4 linked regions of the Lepisosteus oculatus genome follow. The protein of the gene in region 1 binds, or shares a complex with, the protein of each later gene. Links are inferred from orthologs where the notes say so. Each region holds a gene or a part of one and is shown in the gene's direction. Other genes may lie near its edges.

Region 1 (7,316 bases):
TATTGAAATAGCAGAAAATATGCCACAGACTCCGAAATAAATTGGGTCTAGCGGAACGCAACCACAAACTATATTTATAGAAAAGAGACAACACGTATTAAAACACACAGAGTTATACTATATTCCCAATAGAAGTAACCTGTTTTGCACGATCGTGAGTTCTGCGCCAGGTTTATTTCATACTGCTTTGAAGAGGAATTTGGTGAAAATCATACAGAAGTACATTGCATTACCTATGGTCACAAGCTGGGTATTTTTAAAAGTCTTAGTACATGTATTACATTCATCGTCATTTAACGCACTTTCGAGTTGACTGAAACAGACATGCGCGCCTAATTATATAGTATGTGATATCTGTTACAGGAGATCCTGAATCATATATGCAATTATTTTCGTCAACAGTACTTGTTTTGGGAAAATGTTTTGCCACAATTGTTAGGAAAAGTCTTTCCTTTGGCAGCCTGGGTGATACAATGACGTCATCTATACAACTATGGTAAGACTGGCTCAAGTAATGACAGCATCCCTGCGGTTCAGTAACGGCGCATTTTCAGTGCCTGGATTGAGATGAGCAGAAAAATAATCGTCATTATTTCCTGGGACAGTTTCCTCCCCAGTCATTTTTTTTTTTTTGCGCTCAGCTGCCTTTTTAAATCAATCAGAAATTCAAACCTATCAAAATACCAAGACAAAAATTATTAATAGCAAAAAGTTGAACTTCTGCTACTGTTTTATTATGAACTTTCTAAATTCTTTGATTATATTTGTAAAAAATGTTTTAAAAAAACATAATTAGGCCAAGCCCAGCCATGAATTGAAGTCACACAGTAAGCTCCTGTGATCAAAGTGAGTGAACGCTGCACGGTTTCCATTAAAATATATAAATATGGCTTGACAGTGTGGTGACTTCATGGCATCTAATAGGAACATGGGGTTTATTTTTCTAAGTCAATTGTGTTGCAGCAGTTTAGGGTCCTAGGATTGTTTTACTGCCAATGAAAGTTTAAGCTATATATAGAGATCTTCAATTCCCACCCTCACAGATCAGCAAAATTACAGAAGGGTTTTGCATGCCAGCGGTCTCTTGTCATTCTTTTATCTCCCAGGTGGGTTTGCTTCAATAACGATCGGTTCAGAAGAGTCATAATTGTGTCTTATAAGAGGGAATGTTAGAAACTTTAGGACAGAATCCCATAGATTCATCACTGCAGTTCAAGAATTAAGAGTAGTTTCCATGGTACCTAATGACACGGCAAATCACATACATCTCTTACAACAGGAGATGAAAGTAATGATCAGTTATCCTGTCACCCCCGACTCCTCCCTGTCCTCCTAGAAATGGTTTGGTCCAGGTTTGCGCGTCACACCTGCCCGTAGAGGAGAGCTTTTGGGAGCGCCCGCAAACTGAAAATGAGAGGCAGCGGAACTTAATTCACCAAGACACGAGTGAATGTCTTGAGCTAAAGTGAACAAGCGCTGAGGATAACATAGTAAAGTGTCCTGTGGTATGATTTCTAGGGTTAAGAACCCCAAAGCGTTGTAAGTTAACTGTGGACAACAAAAGATCTAAGTCTCCCATCAAATGAAGAACAGATCTGAGTGGCCTATGATAAAAGCAATAGCATCAGATTACAGTACAGTGCAATGAACACAATATTGATTTAAAGGCAGACAGTAATTGAATTAACCCTCCACTTTCATACTTCAGGAACCCATGTGTGGATATCTCTAATCATCCAGTCTCAACACCACCCACTGTGCCTCTTTCTGCTGCTCGGCACCATTTTAAAAATAATCATTTAAAAATGGAGTCTGCTGGAATCTCAGGGCAAAACCCACTGTAACTTCCACACTATGAAAGTAGCAAATGGTGTTGCACAGCCACCAGCCTTTCTTCACCCAAAGGGTTGTGGGAGTCTGGAATAATCTACCAAACAAGAAGATTTCCTGGTTTCTTTCAAGAAACAGCTGGATGAGATATCTGGACCGATTGACTTAGACCAATTAGATAAGATACTACCATTCAGATGGACTGTATGGCCTCCTCTCATTTGTGACTTTTAAGATATGATACGATACATTCGTACTTTATTGTCAGATTTCTCAGCAAATTGTTTTGCAGCTATGTATTACACACAGAGAGACACGTGAAAATGTATAAATGGTACTAATACCATTATACAGTACATTAAAAATAAATATTACATTACATAAAAGACATTAACATTGTCATTATACATCCTTGCTATAGGAACTCACACAGCTTACCAGAACCTGTATATTTACTCCCTCCACAACCCTCCTGAGCCTGTATAACTGCAAGACACCCCTTCATTTTGCATATACCTACTAATTGCTCTTGCCCATAAACCAATACTCCTTTATTGATTGAATAGCCTGATTCAATGTGGGATAAGTGAATTCCTAATTTTCTTAAGTCTGTATTAAGGGACTCTAAATTGTCTCTTTGAAGGCATTAGTTGATATTCTTCATACAGAACATGCAAGGGATCAGAGGAGACACTAACAGACTTTCTATTCTTATGTTCATACATTTTACCTTGAAGTCAGTAGCTCGTCCTCATCTTTTATTTTTACAATCATTAGAAGGGTTACAAACGAGAGCAGGCCATTGGACCGTGTGGGAGTTAATACAATTTTACCATCTTGAAATATCATTTTTTTACTGTTGTGAGTGACTTGCTTCTCTTCATAGTTTGATTTTTATCTAAACTATATTTTGGCAAGTAAAGTTCAGTAAGTTAATGAGAATGTAATATATAACAGATGACAATAAAAACAATTTAGAGACACCTAGGTTCTTAATCTTACATTAATAAACTACATAAGCATGAGGAAAAATATCAAATTCACTTCTTAATGTACAGTACCTGTTTAGTATTTCATTAAGCAAAACAGAACAAAGCCCTAGATGATGAAGTTTACGAACTACGTCCATCCATCCATTACCAACTGCTTCTTCCAAATCATGGTCAAGAGGGAGACAGAACCTATCCCAGCAAGCAATGGGAGCAAGGCAGGGTACTCCCTGTTGAGACGCCAGTCTATCACAGGGCAGACAGACACAAACCAAAGCCAGTTTTCCCAGAACCCAGGAGTGTTCTTGGACTGTGGGAGGAAACCCCACATGAACATGGAGAGAACATACAAACTCCATGCAGACAGCACCCCAGGTCCGGACCTGAACACCGGGAACGAGCCCTGTGAGACAGCACAGCGCCGCTTTGCCGCCCATAGAGCTATTAACAATATTGCTTTAAGTGAGACTACTTTGCTTTTTCTTTTTTTCAACCGTTTTCTAGAATTAAAAAACAGATTGAAACAAAAAGGAACTATGCTAAAAAATATCTCACGGGTATTAAGATACTTTGTAGAAAAAATACTAAGTCAGTTCTAACGACATTATTATTTAAACAAAAAAATGGTAACTGGCAAGAACTAAAGAAAACAGGAAACTCGTCGGCGCTCACAGTTCTGGTTTATGTCAATGAGAAAAATAAGAGTGGGAGGGTTGCTAGTCGCCACCAGAGGGAGCGCTTTCATTTCTGCAAAACGTAAGGAGTGTTAATGGAACGTATTGCTAATGACGTCCTTAAAAAGGTTACAAGTTAGATTTATTATAAGGCATTTACACTCTATCCAAAGTTTGGATTTTGCTGGATTGCATATAGCAGAGAGGTTCGATCGCTTAATGATTTGTACAATCTGGGATAGGTGTTACTGGGTTATAAAGTCAACTTTAATACCCAAACAATATTTGACTATTGACTCTGGAAACATTAAAAGATGGTGTCACATAGAAGTCGATTCTAGAGATATCAAAGAGTCAGAAAATCGCCATTCAACACCTCCCCCCGGCAGTTTCACCTAGTTCAAGCCTACTTTCATCCCAAAATCTTGAATCTCGCGTCAGTAAGACTGAAGAGAAGGATCTGCCCTAACTGCCAATTAACAGACATTTCCTTAACCTGACAAAAAAAAAGGAGCCGAAATTTTAGAAACATACCACATCTACACATCCCCATTATTTCACAACAGAAATGACAAAAAAATAAAATAATAAAGAGCAGGATAAAGCAGTAAAGACAGCGAGGGAGCGCACGAGAGATGCGTTTAACCTGCGGTCCCTCCTCCGCAAAACGTCATGAAAAAAACTCGATATAAAATATCCTCTGAGCCTAAAAGCCCGTTCAGAGTCCGAGACTCGTCGCAAACGCAGAGGGAGAGAGGGGTTCGAATGGCAAAGGAGAAATAAGAAGTCCGTACCAGCCAGAGATGAAAAAATAAACTTATCAGGGAAACTGGATCTAACACTTGTTAAAAATAGATTCCGCAAGGAGACGAGCGAATAGGATGCCAGTGCTTTTAATAAAAGTAATGAAGGAAGACGAAAGGGGACGTTTGATAAAGTATGACCAACAGTAAGATTAATGCTGAATTATGATAGTCGGTGTTTTTGGAATACAGAATCGGATTCCGCTGAACGGCCACTTCTTTGTAAATCGTCGTTTCACACAATGGGGGCAAATGACTCAATGAACAACTGAATGAGAAGAAAGAGATAAACTCAAGAGAAACAAATCTGTAAACAAAAGTGTCAAAAGTTTAAAGGAAGATTCCAGATCTCTCTTTTTTTTTACCCCTCAGTGAAACGTATGTACCTGTTAGGAGTCATTTTCGGGAGGAATTGGGTCCTTTGACTGAATAACCGCTATTTGGGGGGGAAAAAAAAGAAAAGGCAACCAAGATGTATCTGGGTAAAGCACTTCTGTTTTTCCTGCTTTTGAACTTTGTGACCATGACTTTGACACTGTCCACTTGCACCACTGTGGATATCCACAACATCAAGAAGAAGAGGGTCGAGGCGATTCGGGGACAGATCCTCAGTAAGCTAAGACTGACGAGCGTGCCCAAGGATGTAGGTCCGACTCAGGTCCCTTTCCAAGTGCTGGCGCTGTACAACAGCACGAAGGAGTTGCTGGAAGAGGTGGGCAGAGACAGGCATCAGAGCTGCGCTCAAGACAATACGGAGACAGAGTACTACGCCAAAGAAATATACAAATTCAACATGATTCAGGGGACGCCGGAAAACAGTAAGCGCTCCGTTTGTATTTTAAGCTTATCAGCAACTGCGTACACTTTAGGAAGTTGTTATCTTCGTATAACTATGTTTTTAAGTGACCTTTTCCACTTTGCTAGTGGCTGACGGATAAATACCGCACTTTCCTGTGTCAGACAAGCAACGCTTCTTGGCGGGCGCACAGAGTTAATATTGTGCTGCTTTTGTTTGCTGGCCCGTGGAAATTAGTGAATGAGGATGCCCTGCAAATAAAATTTGAGTGGGTCAAGTACCTTATTGCAATAGCAGAGCGGCTCTGTTCCGTTCCCTCCTAAACACTCATCGCCGGTGCTTCTGTTATTCCAATCAGAATAGAATGCTGTTCCAGATGAAAGCACGAAACCTCTGCAAATTTTATTAAGACAATGCTAAAGCTTTCAGCAACTATTCCTCTGTGGTCGTTCCACTAAGTACTGTATATTTCGTTGGCAAACTAAAACCTTTTTTTTTCTTTTGATGATATGTGGAAAGTTACTTAACTACAAAAACACAGTGCATTATACATTATATTAATATTGCTCGCTGTCACACATATTGTATAGTTGATATGGCAGTTTTTGTTGATAAGGCTTTCTACAGTATAGACAAATAATCTTCCTTGATATTTCACACTAATCCCTCACTAGTTCTCTTGACCTTTTGACCTACTGTGCTATCAACTGGGTCTGCTGGTTTGACTGTGTTGCCTTTAACCAATATTCTTTCATATCTACCTAAGCCACATTGTAGGCTTTTTCTAATGAACAGAGATTTCTTAAAGGCTTATAAGGCAGGTTGTGAAGGTTATCTTTCTGAAGTGTCAAGAAAATCCATGTTTATCTCAATAGGATCATGAATGAAGACAGACGACAAGGCCTTGTGTTACTGGGTATAATATTTCCCTCTTAATCCTCACCTGAGCTGAACTGAGGTGTAGTGTAGCAGACATGTTTGTGGCTGCATACACTCTCAGGTTTCCATTAACTCATCAACTCTTCAGCCTCATATTTCACTGTTGGCACATCAAGAATTAGGGGCATGCATACATCTCAGGGATGCTGTAAAAAGAGAGAGGAAATGTTAACAAATTAGGCTAATGTGAGGACCTCCTTTTAGCTTGGCTGAAAAAAAAAACGTTTCCTCAGTCCTTGTGACAAGAGTATTGGCTGCAAGTTCAAAACTGGAGAGCTTGTGCACAGAGTTGAGCGTGGCAGTGTCTCACATGCCATTGAAGAGAGCTTTGATAGAAAAAGCAAACAGGAGATTAATTACACTGAAAGTAGGATTCTCAGTGAACTCAGGATACAAGACTACTGCTACCGCCAAAAGCAGACAAGCTGACACATTTCATTGGAATGTTTCTTGGATTTGGAGTCATCTTAATAATTACAAACACGAGTCTTTTGTTTTTGACGAATGTAAGTAGTTAAATATACACAGTATATAATGAAAGGATATTTTTGTATGTTTGCAGGTTCAGCCTGTACATTTATTCTAAGAAATATGTAGTACCACTTTTAAAGGTTAATTGTGTTTACTTACAAAATAGCAAGGGGACATAGTACTTTTCCACTTCTTATTAGATTAAATCTTCGGCACTACAATAGTGAACACTGCCACAGCACCATTGGTGGTACTGCAGCAACAGCAGCTCACAATGTGAATAACCTGCTCCCCAGTGATGATTATCAAAGCTTTCTGCTGAGGTGCAAAATTTGAGTAATATTTTCTGAAAAAAGACAAGAACAACTTGTGTTGAACAATTGAAAGCAGACAGTGCTGAAGTCAGAGTCATTGCATCAGCGTCATTGCATCATACTAGCCTTTGAAATCAACAGGTGTTTGATTGAAAGCAGAAATGAAGCAGTGCTCATTTGGCACTGGCACAAAATTCCTTTTTTTTCACGCTATCTCCGTTTCAACTTCTGAAAAAAAAATCAAAATCGTGGGCTTCACTACTGAGGAGAGTTGTGAGACTATATCTGAGCAGGGAGAAGAGGGGACATGGAATGTGCAGCTCAGATCAGTGCCTTCATGCTCATATTCAGGAGAGACCCCCAAAAGATGGAAAATGTTCTAAAGGTAACAGGAAATGTGCTTTGAGATTCCAGTCCCTGTGGTCTGAAGACTTTCATTAACAATTCCTAAATCTATTGTCTGTTCTGATATCTGAAAACCTCATTACATAACTGCACAC
Region 2 (7,668 bases), on another chromosome or scaffold:
ATGATGTAGCTGAGCCTTTACTGAACTGTCTTGTTTCTAATCTGGCTCCGTTGCAACTGTACTTTTAATGGTGTGAATGCTTCTGAGTTATCAACTTTAGAAGGCCTTAAGGAAAATCCTGTAGGTGTCTATTTTAGAAAATAATTAGTTCAATTCTTTAACTGTCTGCTCAATTTGGAAGAGAAAACAGAAGACGCCATACCCTTCAGCAACTGAGTCTGAGGCCCCTGACTTAAAGGCAAGCAGACCTGAGGAATGCAGTGAACTGTGGTGGGAGAATACACAAGACCAATGTGAACAAACAGCAAAGCAGATGGACAAGGCAAACACCAGACTCAATGTGTAATTCAGTTGCTTCAGTCAAGGCACAAAAAATCATTGTCTGATCAGTGCAGGGTATGTTAGGAAATTTTTGTCAATATTAGGCATTGCAAACAGGAAAGGTACTATAATATTTCCCAAACCAGCAAACCATGGATTTCTGAAAACTTTCGCCACCTAAAACGGACCATTTGCTTCCTGTAGTTGGGGGGGGGGGGGGGGTGATTTTAATCCTTTCCATGCTACGTTATATACTGTATCCATTTATGCTGGAAAAAGATGTAAAAAATTCCTTGTCTTGGGATTTCTTGTGCAAGATGTGAGAACTTCTTCCTTTCCACCATTTCAATATAGAATTTGGGAAAGTAAAGCACAGAAAATCTGCAACTTATCGGTTTGTGCCCACTCTGAAGTAGCCTTGTGGTACAACTCCAACCACTGTAGAGAAAATGATCTGTGCAGAAAATTGTCTTCATTGTTGTTACTACTGGAAGTATGTTTCCAGATGTGTGAATTTAATGTTATCTTCAACACATCCTGGAAGTGCGTATTTGAAAAGGTCAAAAAAATAATAAAAAACATTCTTACCTATCCAGCATAGAAAGAAACTATTAACCATATTATAAGTACAGAGTTACTGTATAAATGACAGGAAGACTGTCAGTCCATCTACTGTAACTTGTTTGGTTGCTAATAGCTAATCGATTCTTGGCTCTCATCCAGCCATTTCTTGAAAGAAGACAGACTTTTGGCTTCAACAGCATGTACTGCAACTGTTCAGTGGTTCTTCTCCTATTAATTTAATTTCTTGCAATAACTAAAAGATTCACATAGTGCTATGACACTATTTTACACTACTCAGTATTTGCTTCAATGGACAATCATTCTTTGAATCTCCTGATGTATGTAATTAAGTACATGCCTTGTTTTATTGTGTATCTAACTGTTGTTGTGGCTTCTAGAAACCCAATTTTTTTCAGCAGGTAATTTTACAAGAAAAACACAAATATTGTTCTCAATATTCAAACCGCTGAAACAGAAAAATGACTGCACTGCACAAGCCCTTACGATTTGCTATTTAAAGAATTAGCTATTCTTGGACTTGCTAAATTAGTCATTCAAAAAGATCAGATCTGGCAGATAATTCATAAAAATGTCTCACCTTTTCCACATCACCATCGTGGCTTTTGTTTGGCCAGTTATGAATTAATTTTAAACGTATCAGAATGTAACAAACCAAAAAGAACAGACACAATGTTTTTATCAACACAAGAGAAGCCTCAGGACAGTCTCAGAAAACACTCTTCCAAGACTTGGAAGACTTCCAAGTTCCAAGTTCCAAGACTTTTTCATTTAACCAGAGCAACAGGTGAGAGCAAAGGGGTATTCTTGGTCAGCTCAGTTTTTACAGTTGAGCACGTTCGTTGCTTTTTTAAGCTCGGTTTGTGTGTGCACATTATTCAGAAGATGGCTGTTAAGGCCCTGTGTAAAAAAGACTTACAGTATATTCTATAGATAACATCTAGGATTATAACTCTTACCTACAATACTTTTATTGTATCTGTTGTTCTCCATTTTTCTGCATATTTTGATTAATCCATGTATTGACTAAGAGAGGATAAGATCCTTTGTTACTACCATTGGTATAATGTACAAGTAATGGTTTCATCATTGACTTGTATAAGACTGGCTCTCTTGAAAGTAAAGACCAGTCAGCACTAGTTGTACAACAGACTCTGTCATAACAATGCTTTGTATAACATGCCTTTCCAGTGAGTTACTTATTACGCACTGATCGCCTCATTACACTTACAGGCCCAGACAAAAGTACTGACACCCTTCATTTGACACAGTGTTCCTCACTAATTCAACTCCACAGTTGAATTGTGGGTTGAATTGTGGGTCTGTGGTCTTTAAGGACTGACATCCGGTGTTTCTAATGCAGAAGTGCCAATACTTCCATGTGAAACTATCGGACGCTATTCCATTGTGGTCCAGTCCATCCCAGTCCTCAACAAAACTGGCAGTCTTCAGCACCACTGCCCTCAGCTATCCTCACCACACTGCATGACCGCTGCACACAGCAGAGGCATGCTGGAGAGATTCTCACACTTCTTAGTTGGAAAGCAATACTCAAGTGGTAGGCGTAATGTTTTTTTTTTATGTCATATGTAAAATCTGAAAAAAAAAATGCTTTAAGGCAATACACAGTACTTTGCAAAAGCATTCACCCCCTTCAAATGATGTTGAATTACACATGATGTACTGTGCACACATTTCAGCAGGTATTTTTAAGAAAAACAGGAATGCTCAAACTGAACACTTTTGTGGATGAAGTTAAAAGTCAGCAAAAAGAAATCACTTATTAAAGATGTTGATTGGATACATAATAACACGCTTGGACAGCAAACCTACATTAGTTCATGTGCACAGAACCTCTTTGACAAGTCACACAATTAGTTGAAAGGCCCGGGCATGTGACTCACGGCAGCACTCATGTTATCACAATCTCAGCACCACCAGTGCGTCATCTTCATGACTCCACGTTTTTGAACAGTCTGTCCTTGTCCTTTGGACAGGCTCTGGGATCACTTACTTTCCCAGCTGATCCTGTCTGCTCCTCCAGGTGCCAACACCTCATATCAGCCCCGGTCCAGCTGGACGAACCCGTTCCTCAGAAGTGCCCTCACTCCCACTGAGCCCTGCTAAAAAACTACCATGCGGCTCACCTGTCCAGCACCTGGATCAGTACAACCTAAGATGTATCATTCTCAAGCTACTGTACCTCGCAGACTGCTGAGACATACAAACCTGTAAACCAGCCCAATCCAGGCCTCTCTCTGGAGTTTTTGTGCTCTCCACTTCTGTTCTGAAGCTTAGGAATCCTTTTCCTCCCAACTGTTCCTATAAGACTCTTTAATTAGCCCAGATGAGTGGCCTATCCTAACAGTGCCATTTCCTTATGAAGCATTTCACACCTTCTGAGTGCCAATTACTAATTCAGACCAGCTTTGCCTCATCGTGCAGGTTGCACTAATGAACCACCAACTTGACTCAAGGCCCCACCACTGGGCCTGAGTCTTGAGTCAAGAGGGTGGCTTTCGCACAAAGCTTTACACAGTGCAACTAGAGTGGTTCACATGGTTTCAGAATACCCCCGTCTCTGTAAAGTCCCTCAGTCTGGTAGTGATTTCAAGCAGAGATTCAACCACAATGACCAAGGATCTTTCAGCATAATGCAGTCGTACAAGGCACACATCAGGAAGGGTATAAAAAATTCAAAGACACTGAACATCCCCTTGAGCATGGTGAAATCAATCATTACGAAGTGGTTTATTGAAGCACCCAGATACTGCTGAGATCAGGCTGCCCCTCCAAACTGAGCAGCTGGGGCAAGGAGAAAGCTGTTTTGGGGCACCGTCATGAAGCCAACTTCAAAAGGGCCACAGCATTCAATGGCGGAGATGGGAGAAAATATCCATGACTCGAAGCTGTATGGCAGAGATGGAAGAAAAAAGCCCTTACTGGGAATTCATTCCTACATGGATTTTGCAAGAAACACTTAGATAATACTGCGAATGCGCAAGCAAAGGCTTTTGGGGTCAAAGCAAACAAAGCCGAAGCAAAACTTTACATCTGGTGCAAGCCTAGGACATCACCCAGTCGTCAACATCCCTGCTGACAGGCATGGTGATGCCAGTGTTATGTTATGGGACTGTTTCTCACCAGCAGGGACTTGGAAGCTTGTCAAGAAGCTGTTCATCCCCAGCTAACTTGACAGAAAATCACAACTTGAGCACGTTGGCAAAAAATAATGGGTCCATCCTGGAGTGCGGAGCTGGTACTTATCCAAAAAAACAGACAGCTGGAGTTGCTGCCAAAAGTGCTTCCACAAATTATTGACTCAGACGAAGAATACTCTCAACATATTTTATTTGTTCATTTTCTTAGAGGTTTTTGCTGACATGCATTCCCCACCCCCATTAAAATGTTCTGTTTGGGCATGCTAGTTTTGATTCAAAATAATCACTTTAAAAAGTGCATACACAGTACAGCGTGTGTAATTCAACAAAACTGGACATTTCAGAAAGGGCGATTCTAACATTGAAGACAATGGTCAGCCACATCCATAACTGAACGTCCGTCTTTTATAAAGTGTAAAATATCGCTTAAAAATATATAAAAAAAAACTTGTGTGGGTTATTTTCTTTAGAATTGCCGAGTTTTTCTGTATTCTGATTTTAAGCAGAAATTCTATTTTGCACGATGAGATAAGCATCGTTTTTTTTTGTTTTAAAACTTTTTAATTTATTTCATGTAAATAATAATCACGAAAACCAAAGCGTTTTTATTTTTGCAAGTAAACAGCTTTTCTTCATCTGACCAGCATACAAACTGATTTTTTTTTTCTTTCCGGAGTCTTCTGGCGTCTGTGTAGAAAACCCAGCTGCAGTTTCCCTGCGCAAGAAGGCCACCGCGCCGGCGATGATGATGTGACTCGCAGGGAATTCTTTCAGAATGGTGTAACTCTTACAAACCAAACCAGAGGTTAACTCGGGGAATTTCTTTCCCACATTCATAATCCCGCTGTCTTTCTGGAAACCCGCTGAGCGGTAAGCGCACGGTGGAAGTTCAAAACCAGCAACGTAATAATAAAAAAAAGGATATCTGGCGACCCAGAGACCGAAAACTGATACTATCTTCTGCGCCGCCTACACAGTGAGCCGGAGTAGTAAGCACTTTTATTCATTAAAAAAAAATCGCCAGTGGGCTGCAGGCGTTACCATGACATTGACTGACTCACTACCGCAGACCCGGAGCTGGCGGTAAGCGGAGGCTTCTGCATCCAGACAAAGGTCTTTCAAATAATAGCAGCACGCAAACAGCAAAGGAAAAAAAAAAGAGAGAAAGAGAGGGAGGGGGGGACGACACAAAACAAAGAGCAACATGATCTGCGGGCGAACCCGATCCCTTCCCGTTTCCAGAAACGCTCGGGATTTCGTGCCCGAAAGGAGGCGGACCGGCACCTGCCCGCACGGCGTCTGATGGGAGAAAGCGAAAGTGCTCCATCCCCGGCACGCCAGTTCTCACCCTGCCGGCAGCCGGCTGTGCCACGGGGGCAGGCGGACGCGACCAACACAGGCGAGCCTTGTTGTCGGGGTCCGCTAACACATTAATCCGACCCACTGGAATGCAAACGCCGGAGTGGATGATCTCCGATTATGAGTGCGCGGAAAGGATAACGCGTGGTACAATGCCGCCTGTGTGCGCTCACTCCTTCGCTTTGTTAGAAATCAGGGCTCTCCTCTGCCCAGGGGAATTTCTCGGCAGTCTCTGAGAAGTCTGGCACTCGGGTGTCACTCTGTACTGTATCTCCTGCGCTATGACTTCCTCGCCACAGAAACACCGCCGCTTGCTACAGAGGATGGTCTGTGCGCTGTATGTCACCGTCGTGATTGGGACAAGCGAGCCGGGTACGTCGTATTTTTTTTCCCCCTTAAACTGTACAGATGCGTCTCCTCGGGTGAGCCCTCCTCATACACGGAACGCACTTCATGCCCTCGTAATCAGTTGCAAATAAAAGCCTAACAGCGGCCTGACTCGAAATGTAGCTTGCCTGGAAATGGTCAGGTGAGGGAGCCGTTCATGAAGTCTACTGCCTTGGCAGCTGATACGTTTAATATTGCTAGGTTTTTCAAATGTTGCTGTCTGTGATGTATTTTGTTATGTGCAGAGGTCGCAGCAGCAGCAGCAGCAGTATGAGCACAGGTATAAAAAACCAGGTTGGAGGAAGACAAATCTTCTGTCCTGGTAAATGAAGTGTATCCGCAGCCGAAGTCCAACAGTAGCAGAACTGGAGAGGAATGTTGCCTGAGTTTTTTCACTGCCACGTTATTTTGTATTTATTTGCACTGTTTTGCTTCAAGGTGTTACGTAGTATGAATGGGCAATTGCTCCCTTCTGCACTTTAAACTAACAATCGAGAGTCACTGCAGGTGTGATTAGCTTGCGAAATCGCCGGGATGAGTGTTACCGCCTGAAGAGAGAGGTTGACGAAAATCACAGCCCTACTGTACCTTCCCTTTCTGTGGAACATCTCCGCGGGGAAGAGACGATTATATACTAGCCACGAAAAAACGGCATCCTAGTGTCAGATGATTGCTTTTGAATTATCGCTTGAAATGGCTGGCGACGAATTCGCTCCAGAAATGTTTCCAGTATAGCGGGATTGTGGATGACAGGAGATTTACAGTAGCTGAGGTGATCCTCAGCATTTGAGCGAATATTCCTGAGATATTTAATATCCCCCCCCCCCCATCCTACTCGAAATAGATAAACGACCAATAATTTAAAATTGAAGTGGCGCATCGCTTCTTTGAATCGGTGTCGGTATTCTTTGAGGCCCTGGTGTTAAAAAAAAAAAAAACAAGGTGAAGATTTGCATCATGTCGAAAGACATTCTGTTTTTGATTATATGTGCCCTTAGGATCCCAGATTGTGTTTATGAAGAAAATCAACGCTGAATGCTTTTGTTATGATGACAATATTCAAAGGGGGTATCTGCACACCTGCTGGCTCCCTTTGAAATTTCAGTGTTCTAATGAAAGCCCAGAGGCTGGTTAAAAATAACACTGGGGTTCTACTTTTATCTGCTTGCAATAAATGCAATTTGGGAAGACGTGCCAAATCTTAAAGAGTCTGAAAATGCCCAAGACGTGTCTAAACCAGGAGATCTGACTTGTAAAAGAATTAATCAGCTGTATGTATTAGCAACCTCGTATCGGATGTGAAAATAAAAGCAGAGGATCCTGCAAACCGTGGTGACTGGAGCTGCCATGCCTGCCATAGAAACCTGTTTGCTAAATTAAAGCAGTGAACCCTTCTTTACACAAAGGATTGTGGGAGTGGGGAACAAGCGCCCCAGCCATGTTGTTGATATCCTGCTCCCTTTCTAGTGAATGAAATCCTTGGATCAGTTAACCACTAGCCACCAGGGTGCTTCAGTGGCCTCCTCCTTTTATAGGCTTCACATCTAGCCTGTACCTTTTTCTTGGTTTACGCTTTTATTCCTGCAGCACATTTCAAGACTTTAGTGTTGAAGTTCATGTATAGTAACCTCTTCCACTAATCTAATAGTGAATGTGTTTAATTAATTCTAAGATGTGGCATGTCCCATAAATTGTGATCTGTGAAGTAAGCTACGTTTTGTGTATAAGACATGCGTAGTTAGTATTTGTATTGGGCACAGTGCACTTTAGAGCTTATCATGTGATATCTGATGAGGCAGCACTGCACAGAGCAACAGAAATCTGAAAAGTTAAACTTGAAGAACCTCAAGATGGGACA
Region 3 (7,358 bases), on another chromosome or scaffold:
AGATATAACATAAAAACGCTTGAAGGTTTACAAACGAAAAGAGAGGTGCAGCCTGTTTATAGCTAGCTGGGGAGCTTATCCAGGTGTTTCTCTGGGGGAAGACAGAATATTAGGTTCAACGGCAAGGTTGGGTAGTTTCACAGTCCAGCAGGCCCTTGTGCATGAGAAGGTCTCCCGTTGACACTTTGAAACGCACTTCCTCATAGTTACCGTTTGGTTCCTGAATTCAACATGAATCTGACAGACGCAATGAAGCGAATTGTGTGTACGAGGGCTTCCTGGCCCGTCGTTTTGTCTTGCTTTCCCTGGGAACAGTTTAGATCAACACTGACATCTGCTGGTACCGAGAGAGTACAGTTAAACCACAGACCTATTGATAGAAATTGGCATTTCTATCTGGTTAATTCAAATTATAGTACTATATACATATATCAGCTGGAAAGGTTTCTAAGGTTAACTAGATGCGATGTTTTTATTTTTAATACTATATTAATATTTACTAAATTTTCCTTTGGCCTCAACAAGACAACAATAAGACCAGTGTAATACAGAATACATAAACCGTCCAGTGTGTTTTACAGTATGCATACAGTCAAGTCGGTGAAGTCATCCCTGCATGGTTTTATCAAAAATATACTCTGTGTCGTCTGAAAAGCTTAGTTTATTATCAATGAACACACATAGATATTAAAAACAACGAACCATCTCCACAAGCTGAACATTTGTATTTATAGGTTGCAGTGTGGTTGGCTCAAATTCTGCCAGAGTGTAGCATAATTGTTTTGTTTTCCTGACTTTTATTTCAAAAGTGATTGATTGGCACCAATCGATAAGAGCTAACACTCGATCACAGTAGAGTGTTTGGTCAAGGCTATACTATTTAAGCAAAACACCATCATTAATCTGCTTTTCATTTGTATAGGTTGAAAACAACACTGGTAATAAAACACATCTTTATGTTTTAGTTTTAAACCAGTCCTCCTGGTGAAGACTGGATTACTTGATCAACTCGTTTACAGTTTCAATTCATCATAGAAAATGTTTTACCACAGATAAACGCAAAGAAAATTAATGTCTACCAAGTTTTAATACATCCAGTGCTATTTACTTTTCAGCGAATAATGCATTAAAACCGTGACCAGAAATAACTGGCACGTCAAAGCCCAAAAACCGTCACTTAAATCACGGATGTACTGTATGACACTGATAAAAGATCCTGCTAACAGTGTGAAAAAAGAAATCGCTGCCCTGTGTCAAAGTTTAGCTTTGTTTCCGCATCAGCAATTTCTGTGAGAACGCGAAAAAACCCACTGTTTTGGCGTTAAGCATTTTAAGAACTGTGGGAAATATTGTTTGGTTGTTTTGTGTTTTTGCAGCAGAGATTACGTTGATAAGAGGTTAAAACAACTCTTGTATGCATTAGCGACACATTTTATGCACGTTTCAGTGACATCTTCTATGTTGCGTTAGGTTTGCATTTTTTTTTGCATTATTTTGCTTAGGATCGGTCACCAATAAGACACTTTCAGTCGGCTGGCAGGGTTGTCCAGGATCACCTGTATGTTTATGCAGATTTTAATGTACAGTAGTTCAGGTGGGTAGCTGCGTCAGCATGCTTATCCTGCAAATGAACAAGTAATAGGTTTATTCCATGCTGAAAAGAGAAGAGAGAAAACACGTTTCGGCTGTGGAGCCTTCTTCGGGTGTGAAGAAGGCTCCACAGCCGAAACGTCGTGTTTCCTTTTCTGTGTAGTAGCCACACAGTAACGTCAATGACAATCACCACGGAAGATTCCTTTATAACGCTTCTGCGCCACTAGATGGAGACAATGATTAAAATACCGCACTTCTTCCCTGTTTAGTCTCGTACTCAAGGTCAATGGTCATTCCCGCCGGCTGGACTGCAATTAAGCAGCAACATCACAAGGTGGCATGACACAATATGACAAGAAAAACGTTTTGTTTTTGTTCGACTTAGGCTCGCTCTTTAATGTACCTGTCGTCACGGCCACCCTTCAAAGTGATGACGGACGAAAATATAAAATCCGAAAGGAGTCAGAAAGGAGACAAACGGAAAGGCACACATTATTAAAATAATGCTTGTAAAAAAAAAAAGGAAACGTAACTCGCGAACGAATTTGTGCAAGATGTATGCAAATGAATGAGCCTTATTTAAAATCTGCGCCCAGCTATAGGGAATCCCTGAGGGAGCTCTCCCACAGAAAATGGGAAATCCCCTCTTCCCGCTGGCACTATACTACTCAGAACACCCAAGTCTCCAAACATTAATCTGCAAGAGAAAGTCAATGTCGGAATACAAGAGGCAAGCTGCAGCAATGCTGGAAACGCACCGAAGCAGCATGGACATCAGGCGGTGGTCCAGCAGGGTTTAAGCTTGGAAGTTTAATTTAAAAAAAAAAACTTGGCTCGTGAACTTGAGACGCGGTGATGTTTTCTGGGATGTTCGCGACAGAAGCAAGATCCCAGCATCCTTGTGCTAGTCTGGATTAACTCTGAGACTCGGCAAAAAACAAACAACAACAACACTGTTATTTCACCTCACAGGAGAGCAGGTAGGTTATCGCGTCTTCCGTAATAATGTCTTCCAGGTGCAATGACTGATGTGCAAATTTTCTGATCAGTTTCGTTGAGAACATCCAATGGAAATGCGCTGCTTTCCGCTAAGCAAACTGATGACCCCTTCTGGTGTTCCTAAAAGACTCGTATATCTGACAAAGAAAATATTATTGTATTTTTAAAATCTTGGTAATAAGAAATTATAATAATAGACACTTGCCTAAGAATAATCACAGTGGCATCTTTAAATTCACGCCTTATATTATGTAGGTTAACCTATAACACTCAATAATATCAGAAGTGAACCTTTGCTAAAATCTTTGGTTGCAAGTGTTTTAACTTATTTATTAGAGACAGGTGGCACTGTACTAGCTTCAAGTGGTGGAGATAAAAATGTTGTCTTTCTCTCAACTACCTATTATTATTATTATTATTATTATTATTATTATTGAGATCAATTAGCTGCCCACTGTATCTTCAAACAACATTTTTTATATAATTTGACAAGGAAAAAGACTGTTGTTTCCTCAAGGCTTTGGTAAGGAAATAAAAAAATACAGTAGTCTATTCATTAAAAACACCTGCTGCCACAAGCCAATTACACAATTGAACCTGTAAGCCATTTGATTCGCATGTTCAGTAAAAAATAGACACAAACAAAAAAATGGGAAATTCATGACCTTTTCAATTTGTGCCCTTAAAAAATGTCAGTAAGCTTTAGTCATCTATTATTCTCAAAGCTGACAGAGCTCTCTTGTTGTGAAAAAAAAATGTTTTCCAGTTTGTGAAGATTGGAGTTGTAGATTGCTCAATGAAAAGTGAATGCGCTTAGAGGCTAACAAAACCTCTGTTCAAGCCTTGTCATGTCTGTAAGTCTTGAGTAGGCAAACAGAAAGACAGGCTGGATCTCTGCTGTTTTGTAACAACCTTGAGCTTCAGCTTTTGTGGTCCTCCCAGGACCAGCTGCAGGAAAATGCTTTTTGATACCGGTTGCTTTTACCTGTGTCCCAGAAATTCTGGGAAAAGGGTTTTTGCTGAGCCATGTAGGCTACTAGCTGGACTTCCTGAAGGTGGGGTTAGGCAGGTGTTACTGATGGATTACCTGGCGGCTGGGTATTCTTTTAAAGAATTTCTTCCATCTAGCAGAGGGTTACTCACTGGAGTAGTAAGTAGTAACGCCTTTAAAATTCTACAAAGACATAATTGCAGGGCCTGTAAAATCTTAAAATAAACCAAAAAACAGTGGTAAGGGGGGAGGAATACTTACAGAAAAGAATAAACATGTTTCAAAGTTTGCATTTTGTATTCGCATGGAAAACACGCACGGAATTTTAAACTGTTTATGTGCCGTATTGCATGTTGAGCAGTGCCATCCCGGATGTGAGGAGATAGGAGTCTTATAAAGTTAGACACATTTTGAAGCATGAAGCATTAGGACCCTGTTTCACCATGTGTTGTCAGATAAGAGAGAAAACATGGACTTCCCAATCCCAAATAAGGAACTGACGGGGGGAAAAAAAAGCAATCCTGCAGGATATTCCCACAGGATGTATTAGCTGCCGTCTATAGCTGAAAGGTGCAGGGGCAGAGCCAGCTGGACAGCAGTCAGGGAGGATGTGTGAGCATCACAGCAGCAACATGAGCAGCACACTCTGGAGGGGGAAATAATTCTTACCAGAAGGTAACTTGACTTTTTGTCGATTTTGCTTGCTTTGTTCGATGCACATGATACAAATGAAATGAGACACGAGGAAGGGAGAATGGCCACAGAAAGAGGAGAGCTGGAAAGGAATTTTGAGAAGTGGAACTAGTGTGGGAAGGATGAAAGTGGGCTGTTTCCCAAGACAGAAAGAATTGGAAAGGCAGAGAGCTAGGCATATATATCGGCGTGAGAAGCTATGAGTTCCTATGGCAATACCTGCCACTTTTTCGAAGATATACACGTTTTCTAATCAAGACAATGTAAACAGTGGAATTTAAAGTCTTATCATAGTTGGATGTCACAGGAACTTTAAGTCTTTAAACTAAAGTAAGAAACAAACTTTTAAGCATTTAAATTCAGAAGGAAAAAAACTCCTACAAGAGGTGGTAAAAATACTCAGACGTGTCTTTGTGGTTTTACCACATGAGACAGGTTTGATTTTCTGGACAGTATTTGTTGCTGCTGTGGGACTTGTTGCTAAGTGCAGTCCAGTGTGTTTGTGGCTTTCATTTTAGTGGCTCATGCAAGCAATAACCAAGTAACCTCTCCAAGGACAACATTGCAACCAAGTCTTGTTTGATAGCTTGCATATGTCATAAAGCAATTGGATTTCCAATTGCAATGTTTGATAAAAATGGGCAACTTCCCACCCCTGCGAGAGGAGCAGTTAGGAAAATAATCTAGAAAAGAACATGACAACTTAACTAACAGGAATCTACCTGTCTATCTGCATGAGGTATATACTGTATATAATATGACAGAGTGAGAAATTGTCTTAACTGTATTATGACATCCATGCTGTGTCCACTACTTCATTCTCCTGTCAACCGGAGACTAACCTAGCAGACACAGGGAACAAGACATACTGCAGAAATTGGTGCACCTGGAGAAAACCCACATGAACATAAGGAGACTGTGCAGGCTCTGCAACCAAGAATTGAACCCAGGACACCCGACTGTGGCACATCTATATTACTGCATACACGTAAAAATACACTTTGATTGTTGCTTTAAAATTTGTAATGTACTTTGGTAATAGAATTTCTATAGAAGTGTAACTAAAAGCCTTTTCTGTTTAAGACCTAAATTAAAATGTGTTTAAGCACACTTCTAAGTTCAACAGTTTAACAGTAATAGTTTGAAAAGGTAGCTCCTTATTTTCCTCAACAAATGGCCTATAAATATTTCAATGTATTCATTCAGAAAGTTGTCACACTCATATCTGCCTGAGCACTGTGTCCAGGAGCAGTTGATAAGCCATTGATAAGTTCTTAATTAGTCAATTTTGGTGAGTAAATGCAGACTGTGTGTTACATATTTAATTATAGCTAACCTTTAAACAGACTTTTTAAAAGAATGGCTGATCTGTAGGTGTTTCCTGTTATTTTGTATTCTCAGATTTGTAACAAACTGTACATGGATTAAAAGAATCAGGTGCTTTTAGATGGTTTTGACTGTATTGTCAAGATTGGAAGTTCTGTGGTGCTGTGTAGTGTTAATGGACATCACAATAGATCCGTACACACAACATGCTTCCTGTCTTAGGTATACTGTGAGGACTGCTTTCCTACCAATTAATTTCACTTTAGAAACCAGTCATTTTCTAGGTCCTTATGACCCCAAGTTCACCTTAAGTTTAAACAGTAACATCTGGAGGTAGTAAAAAAGATACATTTATAGATAAAAAATGTATAGATAAAACTACTTTGATAAAGATTGTATGTGAAGTGGGTTTGCATGTGTATGTACTCAGCTTAGTGACTGTGACATGTTTAGCACGTCGATTTTAACAAAGGTATTTAAGCAGTTTATTTTTTGGATCCAATTAAACCTGAAGAACAATAAAAAGCCGATCTACCTGATTATTTGATAACAATACTGTAATTGTGTGGGACAATGACACAATCACAGGTCAAAGTCATCGAGTACATTTTTATTTTCACTATTTTGCCATTAAGTGTCACTGTCAGAGCCTCCACTTCCCTGTCAGAGCTGTTAGGCAGCTTCTCATTGAGTTTCATCCCACACAACGTCTGAAAACCCCCAAGCCATGGTCTAGTCCTTTCATTCTGTTTTTTCTTTTTTCTTATTCATTCATGATTTTCTGTGTGTTTTTTTTCCGGTGTTGATGCTCCAGACTTCGAGCACGATGGCACTGTATCTCTGGTTCCTTCTGGCTGTCACGAATGAAGCGACGGCCACATTCCGGCCCCGGCAGCTCTCTCCCTGCCCCATGGTAAGTGACCAGAAGCGTGGTGAGTGTGGCTGGCCAGTTTACTCTGCCGCGAGCTTGTGGGCGATGCAGCACTGTGGTGAAGACGGATCGTTTGATTCAAACAAACTTCAGCTTTCACGGCTTGTTGTTCTCTGTTCACGAGCATGACCTGGTAAGAGGAACTTGTTGCCTTTGTTCGGAGTTAAATGACAGCGTGTGGGGAGCACAGAGAAGTGTCAGGACAGGAACCTGGAGGAGTGTGCTCATAGAAGCTGCTGTAACACTTTGAAGCTTGTCCATTTCACTGCTGTGGTGATTGCTAGCAGAGCTCATACCTGTTTCAGGCAGGTTGGCGAGGTGAGCTCAACAAAAGGCTTTTCTGGACGCAGAGATTTCTAAATTTCACTTTACTTTTTGTACGCTAAGTGAGGCTAATCTAATATTAGGAGCAGCGAAGAATAAATTCTTAGCTAAAAAGCATGGGTCATAAAAACAAATTGGGATTTCACAGCAGGAATGCCTATTTGTTTGTTTTAATGAGCTTCTCATCAGTCTCTGCCGATTCTACTATGTTTTTGCCTTGTCTCATAAGAACACAAGAAATGCTAACATTTCAACAGTTTTTAAACTTCTTTATAACACGAGCTTGTTCCACCCTCCTGCCACCCTTTGGGTACAGAAGCACCTCCTGCTCTTGGTTTGAAATGCTTTTCTATGTAGTTCACTGTTCATTTTGAAGAAGTCAGCTGGGTTGTCAACACCTTTGAGGATGTTGAATACATGCGTCAGGTCTCCTTGTAGACTTCTCCATTCAAGACTAAAAACGAATTTCTTTCAGCCTGTCAGTGTAGGACAGTCCCTTAA
Region 4 (7,327 bases), on another chromosome or scaffold:
ACAAGTTGTAGCTGAGTCATGCCTTCAGCCTGTGAGCCGTTTAGCTCATTCCTGACTGCCAGCTTGATCTGGACATCAGCGGGGGGTACTGTATCTCTGTATCTCAGCATTATGGAACTGATATTGATTTAGTTCACTGAGCTGAGCCCATCCTGCAGACTCTTTTTACAGCCCTAGCACAGTAGCACCCTTGGGGTAAGGCAAGACTACATTTGAAGGTCACGTATTTTGGAATGATGACAACCTGTTACCTGTTGGTTTTTAATTTTCATCTGAGCCGAAGAATTTCATTGTTACTTGAGATTTATTATCTGTGTGTTTTTCCAATCATCTATTGGATCCATACAATGCTCATGGTTAATCTTCCTCACAGTGCCCAGTGCTTTGCCCTCACCTGCTTTTATTAGTTTCAGCGCAGGAAGATGGGATTGTGAGAGAAATGGGTACCCTGCGTTACTCTCTCCCTGTGCTTTCTCTGAGTTGAGGTGTGCCTGGCAGGAGAGCGGTATGCTTAATACTTTCAATACGGCTGTATTTAAAAATTGGCGTTTTCCAATATCGTTAAAAACAAACTGCAGGGTGGCATAAACTGCATTTTTACGTTTACCACCAGAGGTCAGTGTTGACTCAGCTATGTCAGTAACTTAATCTCAAAACATTCTTCTTAGGGAGGTGCACACTGATAAATGCTTCATAACTCCTGTTACGTGGCCAAGTGTTAAAAAAAAAATCTGTCCTGGATTGCCAACTTCCTTAGTCAATTACGAACTTTACATTTTTATTGTTTGCTCTCTGTGCACTGTGGAAAGCCATTATTCTGGGAGAAGGAGTCTGGGCAGCAGGAAATTCAAGTACTATTTTGAGGATTGACATCGGATCCCATTTTGACATAAATCTGTCTGCTGTGTGTTCTGTAATATACAGACTATAAATGACTCCCTGATCTGGATGTTACGGAAACACTCTGCAGAGAAATGCACAATTCATCCTCTGTGTTACACACAGATTGCTGGCTTTGTATAAAGGGATTTCTTGTTCACATTAGTATCTCTAAGTTGCAGCTCAGCTACAAAGGCTGTTCAAGCTGTCACAACATGTGAATGCCTTTGTGTTTGTGGTATATCTGTTCGACAAAAATCCTAACACATTGCTTACTTAAATTGCTTAACCTCAGTACCTAGAGATTGTAAATGTCAACATAAAATACATTTTTTCATGAGTACTTTCTTTTTCCTTCATTTGACTAGCACTTTTAACCTAAGCAATTTATGATTGCTTTGGGTATATTTTTAATTCACATTTACAGGTAAATAGAAAACCAAACTTATAGTACTGAACTGATAAGTAGTCTTAACTGCATTATGCAGATTGACTGCCAATGCATTTCTTGCAACATCATTTTAATTTTAATCTAGAGTTGTGTGTCTGACCTCATCCAGCTCACTGACTAATATAGAACATAAATGTTAAATGTCAAAAGTCGTTGAAAGTCCAAGAAAACCTGGAGAGTAATTGGAGACAAATGATCCATTTGGTTTTTCAGAAAATGAGTTTCTGAGGAATTTCCAGATTTTGCATCTATTGCAAACTGAAGTTATTCACTTAATTTTAGTTTTTAATGAATCTACATTTTTGGAATTCAATGTATTTTCAGCCCATACAAAAACTGGGGAAAATGCTTTTTACAGTGGATAGCAACTAGGTTTCATACAAATGCAATGTTAATGATCCAGTTTCTCAAATGGTATTTAACAAAAGGTTAAGAAGAGGTCATTTATACAGCTAGACAAGTTAATGCTAAACACTAAAGTCCTTAACTAAGCTATCCCTAAAAGTCATCAGCTTGTTCCATTGCAATTAGAATGAGTGGGTTCTAATTGCAATGGAACAAATCAAAACAAATCGCTTAACATAGTTCTATCAAAGAATATATGCAGAACCCTGATCACAAGCTTAAGTATAACTCCTGTCTTCGCTCAAGCACAAAACCTAACTCAAACTCTTACGTACAGCCTTTAACTGAGTTCCAGCACTAAGACTAACCTTGAGTATCATATGCTTAACCTTTTCTCAGCTCTAATCCAGCACTAAACCTAAATACAGCCTTTATTATATATCCAAACTTAACCCTACGCATCAACCTTATGATCTCTTCAACCGTAACCATCATCCTAAATCTGAATTTAAATGTACCCTATATACAAACATTACGATAGCTACAGCACTTGGCCTAAGCATACCTGTACAGGTAGCGTCAACACTAAATATGATCTTTATCATAATTATAACTCTTACATTTAACCCCCCAAAAATTAAGATCATGATATAATTCATTTTTTCTAAACCTAACTGTAACTGTAATCATAACCATACTGTTTGTTCTGACTTAAGGCCTGTTCTTAATACTATTTAAAGCCCTTTCTTTAGCAAAACTCCTCTAAAAAAATAAAAGTTTTAAAGTGTTGGACAGAGAATAAGTGTAAGGTCAAAACAATTTTTAAAGTTAGAAAGTATAATGTGGAGTTCAAATTAGCATTAAGGTATGGATTAAAAGGTGAGTAACTGGGTAAGGGTTAGGATTAGTGTTAAAGTTATAGTTCACATTAGAGTTAGGATTATTAGGTTCAGACTCCAACCTTCCAGGAAAGACGATACACAGATAATTAGGGCAGATGGCACTGGCTCACACTACTTTAGATTTTAAATTAGGCCCACGTATTTTCAATTCCAGCACCCTTTTCCTTGAGGGAATCCATAGGGACTTTTTAAAGCATATATGAGCTAATTCAGTTCACCTTATGACATTGCCACAGCATTTTATGTTTGATTTTAACCGTTGCAGCTATCTTTATTAACTCCCATCTGGGAATAAATTGTACATAGACCATTGACTCTTGGAATAGATAAGTTAGTAAACATACTTCCCAATACTCAGAATGTTCTGTGAACTTTCACATCATTGTTGGAAATTGAAATTGCTGCAATCGTAATAATAAATGTATTGTTTTCACAGGTCACAAAAAATTGCAAAATGTGTTTCCTGAATGTTTCAAAACTCATCTAGAAGTCAGGTGATTCTTATTTTTAATTAAGCTTTTATTTCTTTTCAGTACGGATTCACTTCCAAGAATCCATAGGTCACTAATCGGGATGGGATCGGCACACTGTCTGGTCGGTTCAACTGGTGTTGTTTCGGAAGATAACTTGTCATTAAATCTTGTCATGTGGAGCTCTTGTTGCCCCACCAGGTGGGTACCATACCTGATAATTTAACACACACTGTTTAGAAATCCCCCAAAAAAGGAAGGGTTCTTATCAAACTTATAAAAGGCTTGCTTGGCTTTTATATCCACTTCCTCCTTGCCCCGCCTCTCTGCTGCCCTGGCTTCTCCTAATGAGGGGGTGTGGTTCTGTATTGGGCCATTTCCAGGGAATCACCCCAGCCAGACAAGCTCAGCCTCGAAAAGAAGCTCAGAGTTGAGCGGAACAGAGCAGAGCCAAAGACCAAAGATGCTACGTTAAAATACAATGACAAGAGCAAACTCAGCCACCTCACTGAATGATTTTATTCAGTATCTGTAGGAATAGAACTGATACTGTATATCGCAGCATTTGGCTCTTTTTCTCCTATTTAAAAAAATACATTTTCCCTGGAGAGTGAACATCTAGATTCAGCACAAACAGCAGCATGTCTTAGTTCATGAATGAGCTATTCAGCTCCATCACAACACCATGAAGAAATTTATACCTAATCACGGAAATTACAATTTAAGGGGCTTGTTTCTGAGGCTGGGGGCCTAAGCTTCCTGAGGAGGCTCATTACCGCTGTCTGTTTTGGAATATAGATTATTTTAGTCTGTTAAAAAGAGCATAAGAATGCTTAAAAATGTGGAGGCCATTTCATTCTTTTAGCTGCTTGGTATCGATCTGAAAATTTATTCAAGTCTCTTTGTAAAAGAAGCTAGGGTTTTGGCTTCAACAACATGGTTGGTTAGCTTGTTCCATCCTCCCACAACCTTGTGTCTCAGAGAACATCGTCTCAGAGTTGGTTTCACTCTCAAAAAAAGATACACAGGCATAACTTTTCCATGTGTCATCCTTGAACAGTTGCACATTTGCCTGTCAATCTAAATTTAACCTATTATACTGCTACTAATGAATGTGAAGCATTTTTTGTATCAGGCAAGCAGTTGCTACCATCATTCAATACTGCAACATGCTTTATATCTTAAATGGAAGAAGAATAAAAACGTCATGGTCTCTAATGCAGTTTGCTACTTTGGTTTAATGTTACTTTGTGGAAGAGGAGCTATGAAGCACATTGTTTTTTTCTCACTGGCTTGGTGGAATTGTTTGCTTTTGACAGTATGATATCACAGTCATCTGCTTTTGGTAAGTTCTATGCTTTGAAGCTTTTACATCTTTAATTTCAGAATGGGGATTGGGCAACACAACACAATAGCAAGATATTGTTTAAATGTATAATTTTGAAACTAAAGCAAAATGAGTATTAAGATCTAGAATGCTAACTTTAGTTGTTTTGTTGTGGTAAACCCTACACCAGTCAATACCAGTTTATTTAAAAGCAAATCTAAGATTACAGTAATTCTGTTGAAGCAGAAGATATCTACTAAAACCTTAGTAGGCCTTTCATTTCTATCTGTGGTTGTCAGGGAGGGGGCATGAGTTTCTTTTCTGTCACTTATGTTTACTGTTCAGATTCCTTGGTACAATTGAGTAATTAGTAGAAAACAGTCACTTTTTCATTCAGGCAGTAACACAATGCTCAGGGAGCAGGAGGAGAACAGCACACTATCACAGCAGATGGTGTTCCTTGGGGGGGTGTGCTGGTGAGCACTGATTCAAGAAAAGATGAGAAAGTGGTCTATAATACAGCTATGTGTGCACGACAGCACCTTAAACCAACAGTGCATTATACAAAGCCTTCATACCCAGCAATTCTGTTTAAGACATCGACTGGTATTTTATAGAAAATTCACATTTAAAAAAAGACATGATACATTTGCTGAAGAGAATGTTCCTTTGTTCATTAATTATTAACCTTGACTGAAAGCACAAATGCTTGCCTTTGCTCTCACCAGCATTTTGTTATAATTTTATCTGTACAATTCAATAAAAGGAAAATGAATGTAAGGGAAAGTCTTGCATGCCTTTTCCATCTTTCTATTATCCCTGGAGTCAGAGGGCACATTTTCTGGACACCCTGGACAAGACACAGTTGGGTCAGGGCGGAGCGGTGGCACCTTGGCTAAAGATCTGTGCCTGTGGCTGGAAAGTAGGAGGCTCAAATCCCAAGGCTGGCAGAGGAATCCTACTCTGTTGGACCCCCATTCATTTGGGTTTCCACCAAGGTGCCCCGGTTTCCCCCGACAGCCCAAAAATATACTGGTAGGTTAATTTGCTTCTGGGAAAACTGGCCCTGGTGTGAGGTGTGAGTGTGTGCGTGTCTGTCTGCCCTGAGACGGAAAAGCGTGCCATCCAGGATGTACCCTGCCTTGAACCTGTTGCTTGCTGGGATAGACTCTGGCTCAAGTGAATTTAACACTGGAGCCAAGGGCTCCAGCCGTTACTCTGCCAGGTGCAGTTCTGTGCACGTCCTTCCCTGCAACTTGAAAAGAAACATAACTTTCAAAACACTGAACCTCAAATCTGTAGTGAGAATCCACACCACTGATAATAAGAATACATTATTTGGCACTTGTCTACTGGGGGGAAAATGACAAAAGACAAAAGAACAACAAAAACAGAAGTAAAGAGAAAGTGTCAAAATGTACAGGTAGAAGGACATTACAATCTAGAAGTTGTCATCCTCTTCAGTTGCTTTTTCGTATGGAAGTGATCAAGATATACAAGTAGTATTTGTAGAACAAGAGTTTCAGGAGGTTTACTTCTTTTCTGTGATACACTTTTATATATTTTACACTGCATGTTCTGATACAAAAAAGGAAGTTGATTTTTTGTGCAATCCAGAAATATTATTTGTTAAGCAATATAAAAGGAAGACTTCGATGAAAAAGGGCATTTTTTTCAGTGATTGACATAACATTTAAAATTTATTTATTTTGAAAGCGTGGGCTTTAGAGTTGGATTTTTAACAGTACTTTTCATTCTGGTTTCCTATAGAGAAACAATAGATTTTACCTAATGCAATTTGTCTTGACTTGATGTGTAGATTCCCTTTGTGTCATGCTGGCACAGCAACTCCGTGGTTAACATACTGTAACGGTAATTAAAAAACTCCTGTGTAGAATAATTTTGTTGCCCAGCTTTTTTTTTTCTGGGCTGTTCTACCTAAATTCTATTTCAGGAACTTTAAGTACAAAAATTCTACAGTATGTAAAAACTAAAGCATCATTGCAGATCAGACTCTGAAATCCTGCTTAAGTTGAGTGTGCTTTAAGGCCTAAAAGGTACTCCTCAGCTCCTTACCAGCACTAGTTCACTTGACCAAACAGACAATATTTTAGCCTTTCTAAAAGAAGAAGTAATTACAGACCCTGGCTTTAAGAATGACACAGTGTTTATAATGATACATTTTATCTTGGTCTTGAATTAGGGAAAAAAAGGCTCACCACCATTAAGCAAAACGTGCAAAGCTCGTGATTATTATCTAGTTCTATGATTCGCTCTTTAAAATGCGCAATCTGTGCTGTATGCCGGGATGTATGTATGATTCAGCTTTTAAAAAAAAATGAAGTTCTGTTTTTGCTTGAAGTCGGTTCTTAAGTGTTGAAGCAATTAGCCCTGCCTCTCTGCATCTGCTGACACAGCAGCTCAGACTAAGGTTACGGTACTGGAACTTCCACCAGCGTAGTACTGGTAAATCAGAGCAATGCAGGAAAGTTTAGCCATCACAGACACAAGCAAATAAAGACAAAACTGCACATGGCTTTGAGAAGGTTCAGAATTGTTTTCTTTTTCAAATGACCCGATGTGTTGTAATTGCTACTCTTACAACTTTAAAATGAATTCTTTTTAAAACATGTTGATACCTATTAACCTAAATATACTACTTGAGAACTCCCAGTAATGCCTCCCAGTAATTTAAATGAGGGATAAACCCACAACCAAAATTGAAAGCAAGTCCCATAATGAAAGTAATGCACAATTGACTTACAGTGGCATTGTCAGCACTCATAAAATCTTATTTTTTCAGTCTGTCTTTACAGTTAAATTGCATTGCAGGTGTCATTCAATTAGTGCTATTCCTGCTTCCTCCCAGTGCAGCAGTAAAGCAATTAGAAAGATGGTATACAGTGGATCTCTTCATTTATAATTGAAAAGGACTCAAGCTTTGACTCTTCTA

The links.
Region 2: the proteins of tgfb3 (region 1) and itgb8 are in contact, whole or in part, in a cryo-EM structure (PDB 8VS6), measured with the Homo sapiens proteins. The link is inferred for Lepisosteus oculatus from reciprocal best matches to the Homo sapiens genes TGFB3 and ITGB8. Residues at the interface, in NP_001316868.1 of Homo sapiens: Gly262, Asp263, Leu264, Arg266, Leu267, Lys268; in NP_002205.1 of Homo sapiens: Ser156, Ala157, Ser158, Asn161, Arg206, Gln210, Cys211, Tyr214, Leu216, Ser247, Gly248, Asn249, Ile250, Asp251, Thr252, Glu254.
Region 3: the proteins of tgfb3 (region 1) and lrrc32 are in contact, whole or in part, in a cryo-EM structure (PDB 8VSB), measured with the Homo sapiens proteins. The link is inferred for Lepisosteus oculatus from reciprocal best matches to the Homo sapiens genes TGFB3 and LRRC32. Residues at the interface, in NP_001316868.1 of Homo sapiens: Leu24, Ser25, Thr26, Cys27, Thr28, Leu30, Pro347, Pro349, Tyr350, Leu351, Arg352, Thr357, His358, Val361, Leu364, Leu368, Ser375; in NP_001122394.1 of Homo sapiens: Ala110, Ser135, Tyr137, Ser160, Val184, Met186, Asp187, Ile188, Asp190, Phe193, Leu202, Leu204, Arg206, Asn207, Ser208, Thr210, Cys211, Ile212, Ser213, Asp214, Phe215, Ser216, Leu217, Cys227, Asn228, Ser229, Lys254.
Region 4: the proteins of tgfb3 (region 1) and itgb6 are in contact, whole or in part, in a crystal structure (PDB 4UM9), measured with the Homo sapiens proteins. The link is inferred for Lepisosteus oculatus from reciprocal best matches to the Homo sapiens genes TGFB3 and ITGB6. Residues at the interface, in NP_001316868.1 of Homo sapiens: His259, Gly262, Asp263, Leu264, Arg266, Leu267, Lys268; in NP_000879.2 of Homo sapiens: Ser142, Ala143, Ser144, Asp147, Pro196, Cys197, Ser199, Ile200, Tyr202, Cys204, Ala234, Asn235, Ile236, Asp237, Thr238, Glu240, Asp271, Lys355.

The regions. Positions count from the first base shown.
Region 1 is NC_090703.1:8,710,200-8,717,515, reverse strand, and holds the start of tgfb3 (transforming growth factor beta-3 proprotein), read left to right. Parts: upstream 1-4,215; 5' UTR 4,216-4,768; coding exon 4,769-5,114; intron 5,115-7,316. UniProt on the Homo sapiens protein: Transforming growth factor beta-3 proprotein: Precursor of the Latency-associated peptide (LAP) and Transforming growth factor beta-3 (TGF-beta-3) chains, which constitute the regulatory and active subunit of TGF-beta-3, respectively.
Region 2 is NC_090705.1:1,755,153-1,762,820, reverse strand, and holds the start of itgb8 (integrin beta-8), read left to right. Parts: upstream 1-4,641; 5' UTR 4,642-5,704; coding exon 5,705-5,795; intron 5,796-7,668. UniProt on the Homo sapiens protein: Integrin alpha-V:beta-8 (ITGAV:ITGB8) is a receptor for fibronectin. It recognizes the sequence R-G-D in its ligands.
Region 3 is NC_090700.1:6,485,887-6,493,244, reverse strand, and holds the start of lrrc32 (transforming growth factor beta activator LRRC32), read left to right. Parts: upstream 1-4,268; 5' UTR 4,269-5,177; coding exon 5,178-5,264; intron 5,265-6,416; coding exon 6,417-6,515; intron 6,516-7,358.
Region 4 is NC_090707.1:14,216,690-14,224,016, reverse strand, and holds the start of itgb6 (integrin beta-6), read left to right. Parts: upstream 1-4,207; 5' UTR 4,208-4,392; intron 4,393-7,327. UniProt on the Homo sapiens protein: Integrin alpha-V:beta-6 (ITGAV:ITGB6) is a receptor for fibronectin and cytotactin. It recognizes the sequence R-G-D in its ligands. Internalization of integrin alpha-V/beta-6 via clathrin-mediated endocytosis promotes carcinoma cell invasion.